Linked DNA regions of Rattus norvegicus. The protein of the gene in region 1 binds, or shares a complex with, the protein of each later gene. Links are inferred from orthologs where the notes say so. Each region holds a gene or a part of one and is shown in the gene's direction. Other genes may lie near its edges. The genes, in order: Prkaa2 and Prkag1.

Region 1 (4,550 bases):
TCAGGACTGGAACTCAAGCAGGTCAGGAAGCAGGAGCTGATGCAGAGGCCATGGAGGGATGTTACTTACTGGCTTGCTTCCCCTGGCTTGTTCAGCTTGCTCTCTTATAGAACCCAAGACTAGCAGTCCAGGGACAGCACCACCCACCCTGGGCTGGGTCCTCCCCCTTGATCACTAGTTGAGAAAATGCCTTACAGCTGGGTCTCATGGAGGCATTTCCTCAATGGAGGCTCCTTTTCTGTGATAACTCCAGCCTGTGTCAAGTTGACACACAATACTAGCCAGTACAGTGTTTGTATGTGTTCAGGGAACTGCTATGGAAGTAATGGAGGTATGAAGTTTCATATTCCTGTAACAGGAAGCAAATAATCTTCAGGTATGGAAGGATCGACCAACATTAAGTAAAGCAAGGAGAGAAGGGGGAGGGGGAGGCAGGGAGGAAGAGATTGCTTGATCATAAATTATTTGCCCACTGTTAATACTCTGGTCATGCTTTGGATTCTCTTTACTATTTTTTTACTTTCATCCTCAGTAATCCATTTCTTTAATTTGCACTTTTACATCATTTTTGTTTCCCACAATTCTTTGATCCCTTCTGTGTTTTGCATTTACCTGAACATGTGAATTATTTCCTATATTAGTATTTCTCCTTTGTCCAGTCACACACACACACACACACACACACACACACACACACACACACACACACACACACACACACACAAGTGCTGAAATATACTTAGGGCTCTGTTTGTGATTTATTGAGAAATTTTGTTTAAATTAGTTAGAATCGAGAGTCCTGGAGAGGGTGTCTTTTATCCCTATAACACGATTGTCTATATAACTGAATGAAGAAAAGAAATAGAAGGAGGGACATAATTGCTCCTGGCTACAGTGGATATGCTGGTTTGTCATTTGTCAAATTGACACAAGCTAGGGTTATTTGAAAGGAGGGAACCTCAATTGAGAAAATGCCTCCATAAGATGTAAGCTGTAAGACATTTTCTTAATTAGTGATCAATGGCCCATTGTAGGTAGTGCCATCTTTGGGCTGGTGGTCCTGGGTTCTGTAGAAAACCAGGCTGTACCAGCCCTGATGAGCCAGCCAGTAAGCAGCACCCTCCCGGTGCTAACCCCCCATGGCCTCTGCATCGGGACTGCCTCCAGGTTCCATGTACTGTTTGAGTTCCCATCCTGACTTCCTTCAGAGATGAACAGTGCTGTGGAAGTGTAACAATAATACCTGTCCTCCCCAACTTGTTTTTTGGCTATGGTGTTTTATCACAATGAAAAAAAACCTTAACTAACACAACGAAGAAGGCTTATTGTAGATAAACGAACGTACAGGCAGAAGCAGGGACGTTTAGGAGAGTCCAGGGTGAACATGGGCAGACTGAGCAGGGCTATGTGAGGAGAGAGGGGGAGTGGGAGCAAGAGAGGAGCCAGGCCTAGAGGGGTGGGTGGTCTGGGCTGAGAGATTAGCACAGCCAAAATGGCTGAATAATCTAGGGACCAGGGGACCTGAGGGAAGGGGCTGGAGTCCCTGGGCTGGAGAGTTCGGGGTAGGAGTCGAGGTATGGCAGGCAGGAGGACCCTATCCCAGTTAGGGACTGAGGGATGCTGAGAGAACCTGGCAGCCAGCGTCATCTTTGATATGTTAATGATAGGCGTCTCCTTGGGCAGTTTGTCCAGGGTTTCGACCTAACAATAACGTGACAAGGAACTACAAAATAAGCGTGAGTTCTAAAACAATGGGGTCGCTATCTGAGGAGGGTACGGACTAGAGCGTTCCCAGTCAAATAAACCTTGCCTGGGGGGAGCGTGCCAGGGGCTAGGGAAGGGCCGCCCTCCCCGCCTGGTCCTGCTGTCCTGAGGCACGTCTCATGGTCTGCACCCCCTCACCCCCACTTCTCTTCAGATTCTCCTTTCACCTCGGTCGCTCTCAGACTCATCCCTTCCATCTTCACCGCCGTGGGCTTTCCTCAGGACGCTTCGGGCTCTGCGCCTCCAGCTCGCGTCCACACACGCCGAGCCGCGCTCACCCTACCGCGCCCCAGGCGTCCCCGTCCCGCCCCCCGGGCCCGCTGCACTGTGGGTAGGCGGTGGCGGCGGCGGCAGCGGCGGCGGCGCTTAGAGCCCGCGGCCCGGGGAGGCCGCGCGCCGAACATGGCTGAGAAGCAGAAGCACGACGGGCGTGTGAAGATCGGACACTACGTGCTGGGGGACACCCTGGGCGTCGGCACCTTCGGCAAAGTGAAGAGTGAGTGCAGCGGCGCGGGCGCGGGGCCGGGTGGCAGGTGGAGCGCTCGCAGGCGAGCCCGGGGCACAGGCACCTGGCGCGGCAGCCGGGGCGTGGGTCAGGGGGACCCACGGTCTGAGCTGTGCCTTGGCGGGGGTGTCTGCGAGCACCCTGTCTTTTCTCTACCCGTCAGCTCACTTGTCTGCAGAATTGGGCGACTGGCCCAGTCCAAAGGGCCCCGAAGCGTGGGGAGGATGGGGTAGTCACGGCGCCGCGGATTGGGAGTGGGTCTCCCACTGGTGCCAAGCGCTCTGCCTGGAGCAGCATCTGTGGTCTCACTTAATCCTTTACGTGGCGTAGCCAGGGTGCGGTCCTCACCTTAAAGGTGAGAGAACGCGAGCTCCGAGGCTTCAGCGGCACGCCCAAGGTCACAGAGAATTGGCAGATTCAGGGTGAGGTCTAAAATGTCCTCCAATTTTGGCCTTGCCGATAAGGCCCCTGGCTTCCCCAGATTCTTCCCTGTCCCAGGCCTTTGATGGTGGAGTTGACTAGGGGCATGCCTAGAGCTGAGAGGTGGCGAGTCCCCTCTGCTGGGTGTGTGAAAACGCTGGAATGCAGCTGGTTGGGCAGAGGCTTTAGGGGAACCCCAGCTCTGCAGGTTGATTGGTGTGTGTAAATTGGTTCTAGGAAGACTTCTGGGGTCAGGGTCTGGGAAAAATGTTCCTTGGTAATGGAATTTGGGTCCCCAAGATGTCAGACTTGCTTAGGCAAGGCGTTTGTTTGATGGCAAATTGTGGGTTTTGGGGGGAAAAAAAAACAGGTTGCTTTTGAAATTTCAACTCCACTTACTAGTTAAGTATTAAACTTTGCTTTGTTTTCTTATTAGTTAATAAGAGTCACATGGGTTTGGTTTGATTACCAGCTCTTGTTAAGAAGATACTTGGTAGCGAGTTGAGAATTAAAAGTGAAACGTTAGCTTTTTTTGTTGAATAAATAGTGGGTAAGCAGTCTGGGAATTTTATGCTAAGGCATATTTTTCACATTTTAACCTCCAGTGAAGACTTGAATAGAAGGCAGGGACTCATCATTCCTGCGAGGATTAACTCCTCTCGGTCTATCTAATACCCATTTGTACAATGAGAAACACTGCTTATTGAATGCTCTTACCACATGCGAGTTACTGTTCCAGGCAACAGAGTTCTAGGAAAGCAAAACCTGAGCTTTCTTGGGACTTTTCCGAGAGGGAAATGCAATCAGAATACACGTGAAAAATGTATGCTCCCTCCTACTGAGAAAGGCAACTAGGGGAAGAAAGGATGGGGACTTTAGTTAGGCAGATTATATTAAGGTGGTCACACATGGTCTCACCAAGTGGGTATTTTTGTAAAGACCTAAAATGTTCGTAAAGTTATTTGAAGTCTTATGAAATCGGGATCTTGTAAGAACTGTGGATAGTCGTGAGATGGTCCAGAGATTTGATGGGTGATGTTGACACCATCTTTGCTGAGAACTGCTTTGCTGGATTGGCAGTACAAAGTTATGCAAACGGCTGCTTTGCCATTTAGGGTAAGTTATATAACTTAGCCGTTTATGCTTTCATGTTCTGCTAAATGCTTTTGTTTGCTTTTGAAAAAAAATTTATTGTACTCTCGGTGTAGAGTGCAATACCAACTCTGATTCCTCAAACCATTGTCACGGGATAATTTAAAACTATTTGGTTATATTCTTTGCTTCTAAACCACCAGCTTCCTAAAGTATAAATGGAACTGAAGGGACCTTTGATTTACGAGAAAAATCTTTTTCTTGGAGAACCCTGGTGGAATGAGCTGTTTGGGGGTTTTCCTGATGTTGTTTGATCTTCCCTAAAGAAACACTGTATGGTGTGATAGTTACTATTTATGTCAAATGCACACAAAGAAGACTTAGCTAGGAAGGGAATCTGAATGAAGAGTTACTTAGATCTAATTAGCTCGTGCACATGTTAAAGTGGGAAGCCCCCCCCCCCCAAAAAAAAATTCTGGGCAGCACTGTTCCCTGAGATTGGGTCCTGTACTGTGTAAGTATAGAGGGATGGCTGAGCATGAGCAAACATCCATGCATGTGTTCTCTCTCTCTCTCTCTCTCTCTCTCTCTCTCTCTCTCTCTGTCTCTGTCTCTGTCTCTGTCTCTCCCTCTGTCTCTCTCTCTGTCTCTTTCTCTCTCTGTCTCTGTCTCTCCCTCTGTCTCTTTCTCTCTCTGTCTCTGTCTCTGTCTCTCTGTCTCTCTCCCTCTCTCCCTCTGTCTCTCTCCCTCTGTCTCTCTCCCTCTTTCT
Region 2 (4,406 bases), on another chromosome or scaffold:
CTTTTTCCTTCCTCTTTCTGCCCGAGCTTGTGCTGCAGTTGAACCTCTTCCTGTGGGTGGCAGTAGGGTAGAGGGTGTGTGAGGCCTCAGACCCCTCTCTGGTAGGGAGCCGAGGGGATGAGATGAAGCTTCTATGCAGTTCTCTCCTGGGGCTGTGGGCAAAGGGCATTTTGTAATTAATATTCTCAAGAATCAGATAATCTGGACTGTAGAGATGGGCTGGATGGTGGCACATGGGCAGGCCTGCTGGAGGGGTAGAGCGGTTGCTGTTGTGATTTTAGGTTTTTGTTTTGTTTTAAACTTGGGGGATTGTGGATTGATGGGGGTAGGGAGATTTTTTTCTTTTTTTTTTTTCTGGCTTTTTTTTTTTTTTTTTTTAAGCTGCTTCCTCAACTGTTTCAAGCTGCAAATGTTTATGAGAATAACAACTCCCTACACACTCCCACAGAAACCATTGTAATTAGATCAGACAGTGGGAAAACTGGGCTTGCTGTCCCCAAAGCCACAGAGCTGAAAGGTCTAGGCATTAGTTGGGGGGTTGGGGGGGGAGATTGTCTCCTGTGAGTGGGGCTCTGGCTGGGGCTTGGGCCCTAGAACTGGGAACGGAGAAGGGGCAGACTTTGTAAGCATATGCTAGGTATCCGATAGTCCTGTAGAATTTAGTGAAGAAACCTTATACAGCTTTTAATTTTTATATAAACTATAACTCAGACCCACGCTACAAGGTTGGAATTTTGGTTGTTGTTGGTTTTTTTTTTTTTTTAAGTACCCCGCCTGTATAATTGCATCAGAATCCCACCCCCAACCCCGCCCCCTGTTTGTATTTTGGGTTGGTTTACACTTGCACATACTCAATTTTCAGTTTCTCCCTTTTACCTTCTACCCTCACCTCCAGGACCCTCCCCCTTCTTAAAAAAATAAATCGCTGACAAGTGTGAATCCCGTGAAGAACTTTATTTTGTGTTGTGTGTATCCTGTACAGCAAGGTTGGTCCTTCGTAACAACGGATGAAATGGTTCCCTTTTTTAAAGCGCTCTCTCTTCCTCCACCCCCAGCGCCCCTGTCCTTGGCATGTTTTGTATCAGCGATCATTCTGAACTGTACATAATTTATGTTGCGAGAGGCAAAGGGCAAGTTTTGGATTTTGCTTCTTCAAAGTTTGTTTTTAAACGATAAATAAAAAAAGAACATTTTAAATACAAAAGCGCCTCTGTCCCATGACCCTCGCCGTTAGCCAGATCTTAAGGTCCGGGAGAGCTGGGCGAGGAAGGTGATCCAAGGCAGGCTCAGCCACCGCCGGAAGGGTGGGTTCCCCGCCTTCCGCCCTGGGCCTGGGGCGTGACGTAGGCGGAAGTGGCGCGAGGCACCGGATGTGGGGCGGGGCCTACTGCAAGGGAGCTTTCCAAGCTGAGGAACTGGCGGGTGCTAGCAATGGAGTCGGTGAGTGGCGCAGGGGGGCGGCGGGGGGCGCTGTGGAGCCGGAGACCCCCTGCTAGGAGCCGGGGAGGGCCGGGCCCAGCTTGCCGCGGGAGTCCGGGACTCCCCTCCTCTGCTTCGGTGGGTGCATCTCCGAGGTCTGGGCCACACCCGTGTCCGCCTGGGGTCTGCAGTACCCTGAGAGACGAAGCGGGCTGTGAGCTTGGAGCCCACAAACACCAGGATGATCATGCCCCCCTGTTTATGAGTGCCTCCGGTTCTTTGAGAAGTTTGCATGAAAGCGGAGTTGTGATCCCGCTTATTTAGGTGAGCGACCCCGGCTTACAGAAAGCTCCAGGACCCCGTATATGCGACCGCTTAAGCAGTTCTGACATCTGAAAGAATATACTGCATCAGTGAGGTTCCATTACTTTCATAATGGAGTTTTCCCGTGAAGGAAAGAATGCAGGAAGCCACTGTGTCCCTTGGACAAGTTTAGGTCGTGTCCTGATTGGTGACGCTATGCATGCGTGTTGACAGTTCGTTCTTGGCGAGCAGTGTTGACCAAGGGTGGCAGATTCCCGCCAGCTCCTTACAGATGCTGTAGGTTATCTGCTACTTGTTTGACCTACCTCATTCACAGGAGCCTTTCTCTGCCACTCCGAAGGCCCTCCCATCGACTTCCTGTTCCATAGTTTTTTAACTAAATATCTTCTGTGGGCAGCTTGGGGTTTGTCTTCTCCCATTGTATAGCTATGTAATACTTGCACGTTCACCCTTAGGATTTTTTTTTTTTCTTTTCTCATTTTCTTTGAGTCAGTTACTTGGCTTGGAGCAACCCCACTCCCCACCCCCCAACCCTGGCACCTTTGTCTGCAGAGGAATAGTATAACTTGACTTATAAAAAAGAAAAGATAACAGTTGTAAAGCAGTTACCAAGCAAGGATTTCATTTTCTACAGAGAAAGTATTTTCAGCAAAAGTAGTCTTATTTTTTAACTTGTAGATGTATTGTTTACAACTTAAGTATAAATGATAAACTGTGAGTATAAAGTTTAAAAGCAACTTTTCTGTATGTTAAATTTAGCCCTTTGCTAAATTTAATATCTATTGGATTGCAGAGAGATGGAGATGAGAGGTATGGGGAAGGCTGTTAGTTAAGGTAGGTTGTAGTTAAAGTACTATCCTCATGCTACAGACACCTGAAAGGAAAGGAAGGAGAAATTACAGTGAGTACAGGCCCATGACTTGGTGATGTTGAAACTGGATTTTGGTCCCGGTGTAAGAAAAACTGGCTAAGAGCATTGTTTTCTCTCTCTCTCTCTCTCTCTCTCTCTCTCTCTCTCTCTCTCACTCACTCACACACACACACACACACACACACACTCTCTCTCTCTCTCACACTTTTTTGGAAACAGGGTCCCAGTAGGTAGCTCAGATTTTCTGTGTCAGTGTGGACATGAGCCAATACTCCCAGCTTGGCCTTTTGTAGTAATGGGACCAGTGGGAGATTTATGAGCAAGGAGGCAGGGGATGGTCTCAACAGCTTTCTGTGAACAGACAAAACCACTCAGAAAGTAAGTTTTGTTTGGTTTGGTTTTTATTTTGACGTGTGTGTGTGTGTGTGTGTGTGTGTGTGTGTGTGTGTGTGGTGTGTGGTATGTGAATGTGGTGTGTGTGGTGTGTGTGTGTGTGTGAGAGAGAGAGAGGGAAGGAGGGAGGGAGGGAGATTGGGGTGGGAGAAAGTGCATTGGTGCCTTGGAACAAATGTGGAGGCCAAGGACAATTTCTTGGAGTTGCTTTTCTCTTTCTACTGACGTAGGTTTGGGGATCCAACACGGGTCATCTGGCTTATGGGGCAAGCTCTTTTATTCACTGAACCATCTCACAAGCCTGGGGAAATATGTTTTATGTGGTTGGATATGAAGTTTTCTCCAGACGAGCTACTCCAGCTATCAGCTGATCAGAGTATAAAGCAAGGAGACGATAAAATGCAGAGCAGGGAAACTGAGTCAGAGAATGCCGGGCAACAAAGCGGACGGAGTTGGGGCAGAGCGTTTCTAACCTGTCTTACATGTAAGGAAGCAGAACTACCATCCCAGGCACTGGAAAGATGGCAGAGTTGCACTGAAAAAACAAAAAAGTCACAGGTTAAGAACAGGATGGGAAGACAGATATTCTCTATTATCTTATCAATAGTCTTTGTAACGTGTGGTTGAGACGCAACTGGAAGCGTAGATCAGGAGTTTGGAAAGTAGTTTTGTCTTAGTGTCAGAGGATCTAGCCTGCGTCTCTGTAATAATACTTCACACGTGTGTTGTACAGTGATATGTTTTTGGTTCCCTGAAGTGGTTTGTTTTGGGTGTCTTGTTATCGTTTTGAGTCAGGGTCTAATGTAGCACAGTCTAACCTTGAATTCACTCTGTAGCTGAGGTTGGTCTTGAACTCCTAATCCTTCTAACTGTGTCTCCTGAGCACTGGGAACACAGTTGTACACCACTGCCCAGAGTTCTCAGCCCCGTCTCATTAAAGGAAGAGGGGAGTGGCCCTAATTCTCCCACTCGTGGAGAAACAGGCAGGAAGGATGAAGTCACGTTTAATTGTTTCTATGGTGGGTTCATTAGTTGTGTCTGACTGTTTGCCTTGTCAACTTGATACAACCTGGAATCACCTGGGAAGAGAGCCTCAATGAAGGGTTATCTGTCTATATTGGGTTGGCCTGTGGCCATGTCTGTGGCATACTGTCTTAGTAACTGCTATGGGAAGACTTAGTCCACTATGAGTGGCACCATCCCCTAGGTAGACGGTTGTATGAGAGTGGAGAAATGAAACAGTGCAGCAAGCAAGCAAGTGAGAGTATGTCCATTCATTCCTCTCTGCTCTTGACTGAGTACTATTTGGCCAGCTTCCTGAAGTCCCTGCTGCTGTGTCCTCCCTACAGTGACCTCCCCACAGTGACCTCACAATGATGGGCTGTATCCGTATATAAGT

Evidence for each region.
Region 2: the proteins of Prkaa2 (region 1) and Prkag1 are in contact, whole or in part, in a crystal structure (PDB 6B1U), measured with the Homo sapiens proteins. The link is inferred for Rattus norvegicus from reciprocal best matches to the Homo sapiens genes PRKAA2 and PRKAG1. Residues at the interface, in NP_006243.2 of Homo sapiens: Asp329, Asn330, Ile333, Met334, Ala337, Phe340, Tyr341, Leu342, His366, Pro367, Glu368, Arg369, Met370, Pro371, Pro372, Leu373, Ile374, Asn444, Val446, Thr447, Pro530, Arg531, Leu532, Gly533, Ser534, His535, Thr536, Met537, Asp538, Glu541; in NP_002724.1 of Homo sapiens: His36, Asp40, Leu41, Ile42, Pro43, Thr44, Ser45, Val50, Phe62, Leu64, Val65, Thr66, Gly68, Val69, Arg70, Trp75, Ser77, Lys78, Lys79, Gln80, Phe82, Pro158, Glu159, Ser160, Gly161, Asn162, Lys170, Arg171, Lys174, Phe175.

The regions. Positions count from the first base shown.
Region 1 is NC_086023.1:125,105,934-125,110,483, reverse strand, and holds the start of Prkaa2 (5'-AMP-activated protein kinase catalytic subunit alpha-2), read left to right. Parts: upstream 1-1,473; 5' UTR 1,474-1,736; intron 1,737-1,918; 5' UTR 1,919-2,166; coding exon 2,167-2,260; intron 2,261-2,336; exon of another isoform or gene 2,337-3,805; intron 3,806-4,550. UniProt on the Homo sapiens protein: Catalytic subunit of AMP-activated protein kinase (AMPK), an energy sensor protein kinase that plays a key role in regulating cellular energy metabolism.
Region 2 is NC_086025.1:131,856,494-131,860,899, reverse strand, and holds the start of Prkag1 (5'-AMP-activated protein kinase subunit gamma-1), read left to right. Parts: upstream 1-1,415; 5' UTR 1,416-1,431; coding exon 1,432-1,440; intron 1,441-1,484; exon of another isoform or gene 1,485-1,743; intron 1,744-4,406. UniProt on the Homo sapiens protein: AMP/ATP-binding subunit of AMP-activated protein kinase (AMPK), an energy sensor protein kinase that plays a key role in regulating cellular energy metabolism.